Arabidopsis thaliana: one gene and its partner. The protein of the gene in region 1 purifies or fractionates together with the protein of each later gene. This does not show direct contact. Each region holds a gene or a part of one and is shown in the gene's direction. Other genes may lie near its edges.

Region 1 (3,925 bases):
CAGCTCGTCTTGGTTTGTTCTTCCTTCTGCTCCCATTCTGCCTAAACCCAATAGACGACGATGATTTCATAGAATCTTCTGTGCTTGATTTTGACCCTACCCCATTCTCTTCTTCAGTTATGTTGCTCTCTTTAGACTCCACTGGTTTCTTCCTCTTCCTCCCATTCTCTGTCACATTTTCTTTACTTGTTACTGAACCATTTGTATCATCATCCTTGTCTTCTTCCTCATCTGTCTTCTTCACTAGCTCTTCTTCTTCTTCTTCTTCATCTTTCACCGGCTTCTGTGGCCTCCCTCTTTTCCTAAAAGCTGGAATCTTTTCTTCCTCGCCGCTCCCTCGATCTTCTCTAGCAGTAGCATTCTGCCTCTTGCCTTTTCCTCTACCTCTTCTCATAACTCTATTCAAACCAAAAACCAAAAACCTCAAGCAACTAGACAAGAAACCTGCAAGTTGAAAAGGTTGCTTTTTAATTACCAGTAGTAACTCATACCTCACAACAACACAATGAAGGCGAACTAAACTCAAACACTATAGAAATTTGTTGAAGAATGCAGACTAAAAAGTGTGAAAAGCAATGTCATTTTTTTCGATATGCACAAAAGTAGAGGATCATTCAAACTGGCAGACACTCCATAGAGGAGGAACTATTCATTGAAGAATCAACACAAGCGCAATCATAAACACGAAAGCAAGATTCCATTTTTTTCATGCATTAGAAGCAGTGCATTGAACAAGTTATTTAACAACATCCAAATACAAATTCTTTCCAAAAAGATCTGAACAAAGGAAACATATATAAGCAACACTTGAGTCACGAGACATTAAACAATTTCATCTCTTAAAAACCTATCCTTTAGAGCTCAATAGAAACCAAGAACTAAGCTACAAGCAAGTTCAATCAATTATCTTCCACGAAAACTAATTGCATGAACAGTCTAAACAAGAAAACAAGCCCTAGTTTCCTTACAATCTCTTCAAAACAGAGAGACAGAGACTCACCTGTGAACCCATTGGTCAGACTGAGACAAAAACCCCAAAAAACCTATAAAGGGTTTCTCTTTTTACTAATTTATAGTTGGGTTCTCAATCGATCTAACTCACGAGTTTCTACAGCTAAAACCCAGATCAGAGGAAAGACTAAGAGTCTAAAGAAAACTGACCAAACCAAACGGAGGAATCAAATCGAATAAAAATCCAAAGGATAAGACTCAAGTTAAAAGAAAGAGATCTAAGAGAAGAAGGAAGGAAGAAAACGAAGAGAAAGAGCAACAGCTAGAGTACTAGTGTTGGTTGAAAAAGATTAAAGTTGATTGCTTTCAAAAGGCTTCTCTTTTCTTTGTTCTAGCTTCTGTCTCTGAGTGAAACTTAAAAGAAAAACGTAAGAATGACGCTTTTTCTTCTCACTACCATCACTGAGACTGACTAAAATGGATCTTAAGCCCGTTGAAGATGGATACGGATTTCACCCACGCGCCCCCTTTTTGGCGCGTGCTTTCACATTCTACTCGTTTTCGAACTCGTTGGGTTCGGTTGGATAAGAGACGACAGCTAATAGCCGCGTTTCATCCAAACATTTCAAAACACTTTCCACGGGCTTCTTCTTTTCCTTTAACGTTTGGGCTTTGGCCCATTAGAGTTCACTTTATTTGTTATCTCTCTATTCTCTCTATCTATATACTAATAATATTCTATATGTCAAAATCATCACATTTTGTAATTCAGCTTCATCAGCTATATAAATTGAAGTTACATCGCTTCAAAATTGTTTTCAAAAACATTCAACAAAGGATTTTGTCACCAGACTCACCACTAACAACTACAAAAAAAACTAAAAGAGAGAGACACATATGATTCTTCCCGGGCTTCTTCTTTTACTGGGCCTTTTATGCTTATGCCCATTAGAGTTCACTTTATTGAACCCGATTTTATATGAATAGTGGCATTAAACCATTTCGGTCTAGTACTCGGTTATGAATGATTCATTCATTGAGTAAGAAGGACAAAAAGGTCAAAGCAGAAAAATCATAATTTCTTCGGTCCTAAACCCTACTCAACAATTTAGAAACCCTAAGTTCTGTTCCGGTGGTCCTTGTTATTTTTTTTTATTTTGGTGTTGTTCTTAAAATTCAGTTCCAAACGGAAATTGATTTCTTCGTCAGTTGCGTTTTTTACCAACACTCGAAAGCAGAACCCATATTTTGTTATTGAATTTGGGTTTTTTTTTGTCTGTGTTAAGAAGATTAAGTAGGAGGAAGAAGAAGAGCTAGTTTTGCGAGAATGAGGAAGAAGGTTGATGAACGTATCAGGACTCTGATTGAAAACGGTGTCAAATTGAGACACCGTTCCATGTTTGTAATCATTGGTGACAAGTCTCGTGACCAGGTTCTCGAAAGTTTTCTACTTGGACACTTATCTCCCTGAGAGAATGTTTTGTTGGATACTAAATCTTCAACCTTTTTTTTTTCTCTAACAGATAGTGAACCTCCATCATATGTTGTCAAAGGCAGTTATTAAATGTAATCCGAGTGTGTTGTGGTGCTACAAGGATAAACTTGACATTAGCAGGTTCTGTTCTTAATCCCAAATTCTCAAGGCTTTAGATGATTCTCTTTTAGCTCATTTTATGCTTGTGATATATATATTGAGAATTTAGCTGGGCACAAGTGTAGAATGGAATGTGAAATTTCTGATTGTCCTTTGAATAAAGAAGATAGCTTTTTTCAGTAATGGTGAGAGTCTGTATCGTTTGTTTGCAGTCATAAGCAAAAGCGTTCGAAGCAGCTGAAGAGATTGAGGGAGAGAGGACAGTTAGATCCAGAGAAACTTGACGCTTTCTCGCGTTTGCTTGATGTTGGAAGAGTCACTCATTGCTTGTACAAAGATTCTGAACGAATTCTTGGAAATACTTTTGGCATGTGCATCTTACAGGTACTTTTCTTCTTATTTATATTCATTTAGGATGACTGCCTTATGTCCCTGTTTCGTTTTGTGAGTAATTGTTACTATTTCTTCTTGATAAATTCAGGATTTTGAAGCTTTAACTCCAAATCTACTAGCAAGAACAATAGAGACTGTGGAAGGTGGTGGTTTGGTTGTATTGATATTGCGATCACTTACATCGCTTACTAGTCTATGCACTATGGTTATGGTATGAACCACAGTTTAATTTCTTATTTTTTGAGTAAGTGGGAGAAAAGCATTATCTAAGTAATGTGACATGACTTTTTTTTATTAGGATGTCCATGACAGATTCCGAACTGAATCGCATTCTGAGGCTGCCGGCCGTTTCAATGAACGTTTTCTGCTTTCACTTGCATCTTGCAAAGCATGTGTTGTCATGGATGATGAGTTGAATATTTTGCCGCTTTCCTCGCATATCAGATCTATTACTCAAGTTCCAACAGAAAAGGTAATTCTTGTAGCAAATTGAGAGAATGTTATCCAAAGTTCCAGGTAGAATTGATAACTTTACAATGTTATGTGCTACTAAAGGATTCCGAGGGGCTCTCTGAGGCAGAGCGGGATCTGAAGAGTTTGAAAGAAGACCTAAGTGATGATTTTCCTGTTGGTCCGTTAATCAAGAAATGTTGTACATTGGATCAGGTTCAAAGCTATCAATTTTATGTCTTGCTAATGTTCTTTCTTGTTGCATGGTTGATATTAAATTGTAGGAGATTCTGCGTTTTCATTTTGTAGGGTAAAGCTGTAGTAACATTTTTCGATGCAATTTTGGATAAGGCTCTCCGCAGCATAGTTGCTTTGATTGCAAGTCGAGGACGTGGAAAATCTGCTGCACTTGGTTTAGCTGTTGCCGGGGCTGTTGCTGCTGGGTAGATTTCTTGAATTAATTTTACTATATGTTCTTCTACTCATCAGTATTAATTTTTCTGGATGTTTGTGAGAATTATTGATGTGTGATTTACT
Region 2 (3,925 bases), on another chromosome or scaffold:
TTGATATCGAATTGATGAAATTGGTGAAGCTTTACGCCATTAAATTGGGGCAATTTCAATCTCAGAGACAATTTCGGATTTGTTAGGGTTTCGATTCGAACAGAGAGAGAGAGAGACAGAAAGAGAAAGAAGATGATGAGTCGGACAAATCGGGAAACGTGATGTTTGAAAAATGAATATAAAAAATCAAAATTGTAATGAATTTAATGTCTCCTCAAATGACAACCAGAGAAATTAGGGGACATATATGTAATATTCAGTTTTTTCAGTGGCTATATGGTAAACTTACACTAACTTGATTCAAATTAAGGGTGGGTAAGAAACTGAACCAAACCATATTAAACCGAAATTTATTCTTTTGTCCAACTGAGTAAAAAATTAACAAAAATTCGAAAAATTTTAAGCATAATTTTTAATCGAAAACCGGAATAAATCTAAATTAAACTCAAATCCAAATTGAAAATTTTTAATCGAAAAAATTATAGTTTATACGACATCTATTTAGGGAACAAACCCAAAAAAAAACTCAACTAATTTTTATTTGGACGTTTAATACCCAATTGTTTTTGGTTGGAAGGTAAATACACGAAGTAATAAAACCGTGCAATTTAATACACAAACAAGTAATTGTTGTTATTTTCATACTCACGATCTCACAACAAAAATAAAATTCCAATTTTACCCTTACCATCTCAATTAATTATTAATTTTTTTATAATATAATATTAAATTTTATAATTTTGAATAAAAAATAATTTTATTAACATTTTAGTTTATGGTCTCTAATTTTTATTATTATTATATTATTCTAAAATTTAACATAAAAATTATAGAAAATTAAAAATATTTTAAAATGGCCGGTAAATATTCTTCGTAGTGAGAAACTCTCTTTTCGATTGTATATCCTTCAAGAATCAAACTATTTTCGACAAAATCTCAACCCGAATCTCATCGTATTTCTCAAGATTTATCAATTCATAAAAATGGCTAATTTTGTTTTTAGTAGCAAAATAGCTAACCTCAACCCAAATCTCAACGAATTAGATTAATCTTTGATTCTAAATTTCCTTAAAGAGAAAACGATTCTTTGATATTGCAACGATAGAAGAAGATTGTAATAATGACTATTTTAAAATATTTTTGATTTTCTATAATTTTTATGTTAAATTTTAGAATAATATAATAATAATAAAAATGAAAATTTAAATTTTAGAGACCATAAACTAAAATGTTAATAAAATTAATTTTTATTTAAAATTATATAATTAATATTATATTATCAAAAAATAATAGTTAATTGAGATGGTAAGAGTAAAATTGGAATTTTATTTTTGTTGTGAGATCGTGAGTATGAAAATAACAACAATTAATTATTTGTGTATTAAATTGTATGATTTTATTATTTCGTGTATTTACTTTCCAACCAAAAACAATTGAGTATTAAACGTCCAAATAAAAATTAATTGAGGTTTGTTTTGGTTTTTTTTCCCATCTATTTATAATAAAATAGACCAATTTTAAATTTATCGAACCGAACTGGGCATAAATGTAACAACGAGTTTTAAAAGGCGGGGCTATATAGTGAAATTAATATACTTTGGGTACAGAATTCGGATGTTTTCTTTTTATAGGCCCTTTAATGAAATGATTGTATAAAAGTAAAACCCTTAATCGGATCCTCCAGCAATTTTCCCTCCAAACCAGAAAACCCTCCAAATCTCACCGGTCGGAGATTCCTTCTCTTCCGACTGATAATGGCGTCTTCTTCATCAACCTCTACCGGTGACGGATACAATGAACCATGGGTGGAGAAATACAGGCCGAGCAAAGTAGTCGATATCGTTGGAAACGAAGACGCCGTCTCCAGACTTCAAGTCATTGCTCGCGACGGCAACATGCCTAATCTTATCCTTTCCGTAAGATTTTACTCTTCTGTTGACACTCTTTGATTTAAACCCTCCTCGAATTTGCTAAAAAGTTTTAGGTTTGATGAAAACTTGATCAATTAGGGCATTTTGGGTTTGTTTACTGTGTAGATTTCATGATAAAGCTTAGATTTTGAGGGTTTTTAATCAATTTCTATTGTCTGCCAAAGTTAATGAAGGTTTGATTTTTAGAAAATCTCTGTGTTTAGTATTACTTGTGGAGATTTGATATATGATTTTGTGTTGTTTGGTTGTATATCCTTAGGGTCCTCCTGGAACAGGTAAAACCACAAGCATTTTGGCTCTTGCTCATGAGCTCCTTGGCACGAATTACAAGGAGGCTGTTCTGGAGTTGAATGCATCTGATGATAGGTATGTGATGCCAATCTTTTACCTATGGGATGTTGTTCTATCTTCAATCGTTGTTTGGTTAGACATCTTCAATGTTCTGTTATGTTTGTAGGGGTATTGATGTTGTAAGGAACAAAATTAAGATGTTTGCGCAGAAGAAAGTAACACTTCCTCCAGGGCGTCATAAGGTTGTTATCCTAGATGAAGCTGACAGGTTAGTGACTTTTACTTGAGTATTCCTTCTCAAGTTGAATTGTTCCAGTTAAGTGTTTTTTTTTCTGACTTTCTGTTTTCGGTTTCTAAAAAACTAGTATGACATCTGGAGCACAACAAGCATTGAGGAGAACGATTGAAATCTATTCGAACTCTACGCGGTTTGCACTTGCTTGTAATACATCAGCCAAGATTATTGAGCCCATTCAGAGTAGATGTGCCTTAGTTCGATTCTCTAGATTATCTGATCAGCAGATACTAGGCCGTCTCTTGGTGGTGGTTGCAGCAGAGAAAGTACGGATTTGCCACTTTTCTTTCATTCGACATGTTTACTTACTGCAATTTTGAAAATTTTCTAATTGCTTATGTTTTCAATCTCTCAAGGTTCCGTATGTGCCTGAAGGCCTTGAGGCGATAATCTTTACAGCTGATGGTGACATGAGGCAAGCTCTGAACAACTTGCAAGCCACATTCAGCGGGTTTTCGTTTGTCAACCAAGAAAACGTCTTCAAGGTTTGAAACAAAACCTTAATTCACTTTGGCTTATAAAACACATTGGTTTCATATCATCAATCAAAGATCTCTTCACTTAGGTCTGTGACCAGCCTCACCCGCTTCATGTCAAGAACATTGTTCGCAATGTGTTGGAAAGTAAGTTTGACATCGCCTGTGACGGCTTAAAGCAGCTCTATGATTTGGGCTACTCTCCAACCGACATTATCACAACGCTTTTCCGTATAATAAAGAATTACGATATGGCTGAGTATCTGAAACTTGAGTTCATGAAGGTATACATCTGATTCTCCTTGACAGCTCAAAACATCCAAACTTTCGTCTAACACCAATGCTTTTCTTCAGGAAACTGGATTTGCGCATATGAGAATCTGTGATGGAGTTGGATCTTATCTTCAGCTATGTGGTCTTCTGGCTAAGTTATCCATTGTTCGTGAAACAGCGAAAGCACCTTAAGTTAGGTAACTTCCACTCATCTCTAGTGATGAACTGGTGGCCGGTCTATGTTTAAACCAAGTTGGTTAAATCTCGTTGTTTGAGAATTCGGATAGATGTTGGAACTTCCATGCTGTATTGCTCTGTTTTCTAGATTTGAATTGCTTGTGAATGTTTCTGAATATTAAGCTTAATCCTAACCAGTTTGGTATACCAACACATTTTTTTATATAATACCATGCTATTTGTTTAAATCACATAAATGAAAAAAACAATACACAGATTATTTTACACATTACAACCACTCTATATAGTCTACGCAAGTGCGAGAGATGAATCGTAATTTTTGTAGGTAAAATGTTGAACCTATTTGTGTAATTCGATAACACTATATGAGTAAGGCATGACATTGTGAAATGGTGTAAACTCTTGGTCTGTTACATTGACTTTATATTATGAATAAACACACTTGTGACCAAAAAAAAGAA

Evidence for each region.
Region 2: the proteins of AT3G57940 (region 1) and RFC2 fractionate together in Arabidopsis thaliana (co-fractionation; one large-scale study listed by BioGRID). This does not show direct contact.

Annotation. Positions count from the first base shown.
Region 1 is NC_003074.8:21,447,282-21,451,206, forward strand, and holds the start of AT3G57940 (GNAT acetyltransferase (DUF699)), read left to right. Parts: upstream 1-1,972; 5' UTR 1,973-2,278; coding exon 2,279-2,383; intron 2,384-2,474; coding exon 2,475-2,566; intron 2,567-2,757; coding exon 2,758-2,929; intron 2,930-3,026; coding exon 3,027-3,149; intron 3,150-3,236; coding exon 3,237-3,410; intron 3,411-3,493; coding exon 3,494-3,604; intron 3,605-3,697; coding exon 3,698-3,831; intron 3,832-3,925. Other genes in the region: AT3G57930 (rho GTPase-activating gacO-like protein), read right to left, coding at 1-394. UniProt on the Arabidopsis thaliana protein: RNA cytidine acetyltransferase with specificity toward both 18S rRNA and tRNAs. Catalyzes the formation of N(4)-acetylcytidine (ac4C) in 18S rRNA. Required for early nucleolar cleavages of precursor rRNA at sites A0, A1 and A2 during 18S rRNA synthesis.
Region 2 is NC_003070.9:23,421,601-23,425,525, reverse strand, and holds RFC2 (replication factor C 2), read left to right. Parts: upstream 1-1,611; 5' UTR 1,612-1,754; coding exon 1,755-1,916; intron 1,917-2,190; coding exon 2,191-2,297; intron 2,298-2,388; coding exon 2,389-2,490; intron 2,491-2,587; coding exon 2,588-2,783; intron 2,784-2,873; coding exon 2,874-3,002; intron 3,003-3,082; coding exon 3,083-3,277; intron 3,278-3,347; coding exon 3,348-3,458; 3' UTR 3,459-3,692; downstream 3,693-3,925. UniProt on the Arabidopsis thaliana protein: May be involved in DNA replication and thus regulate cell proliferation.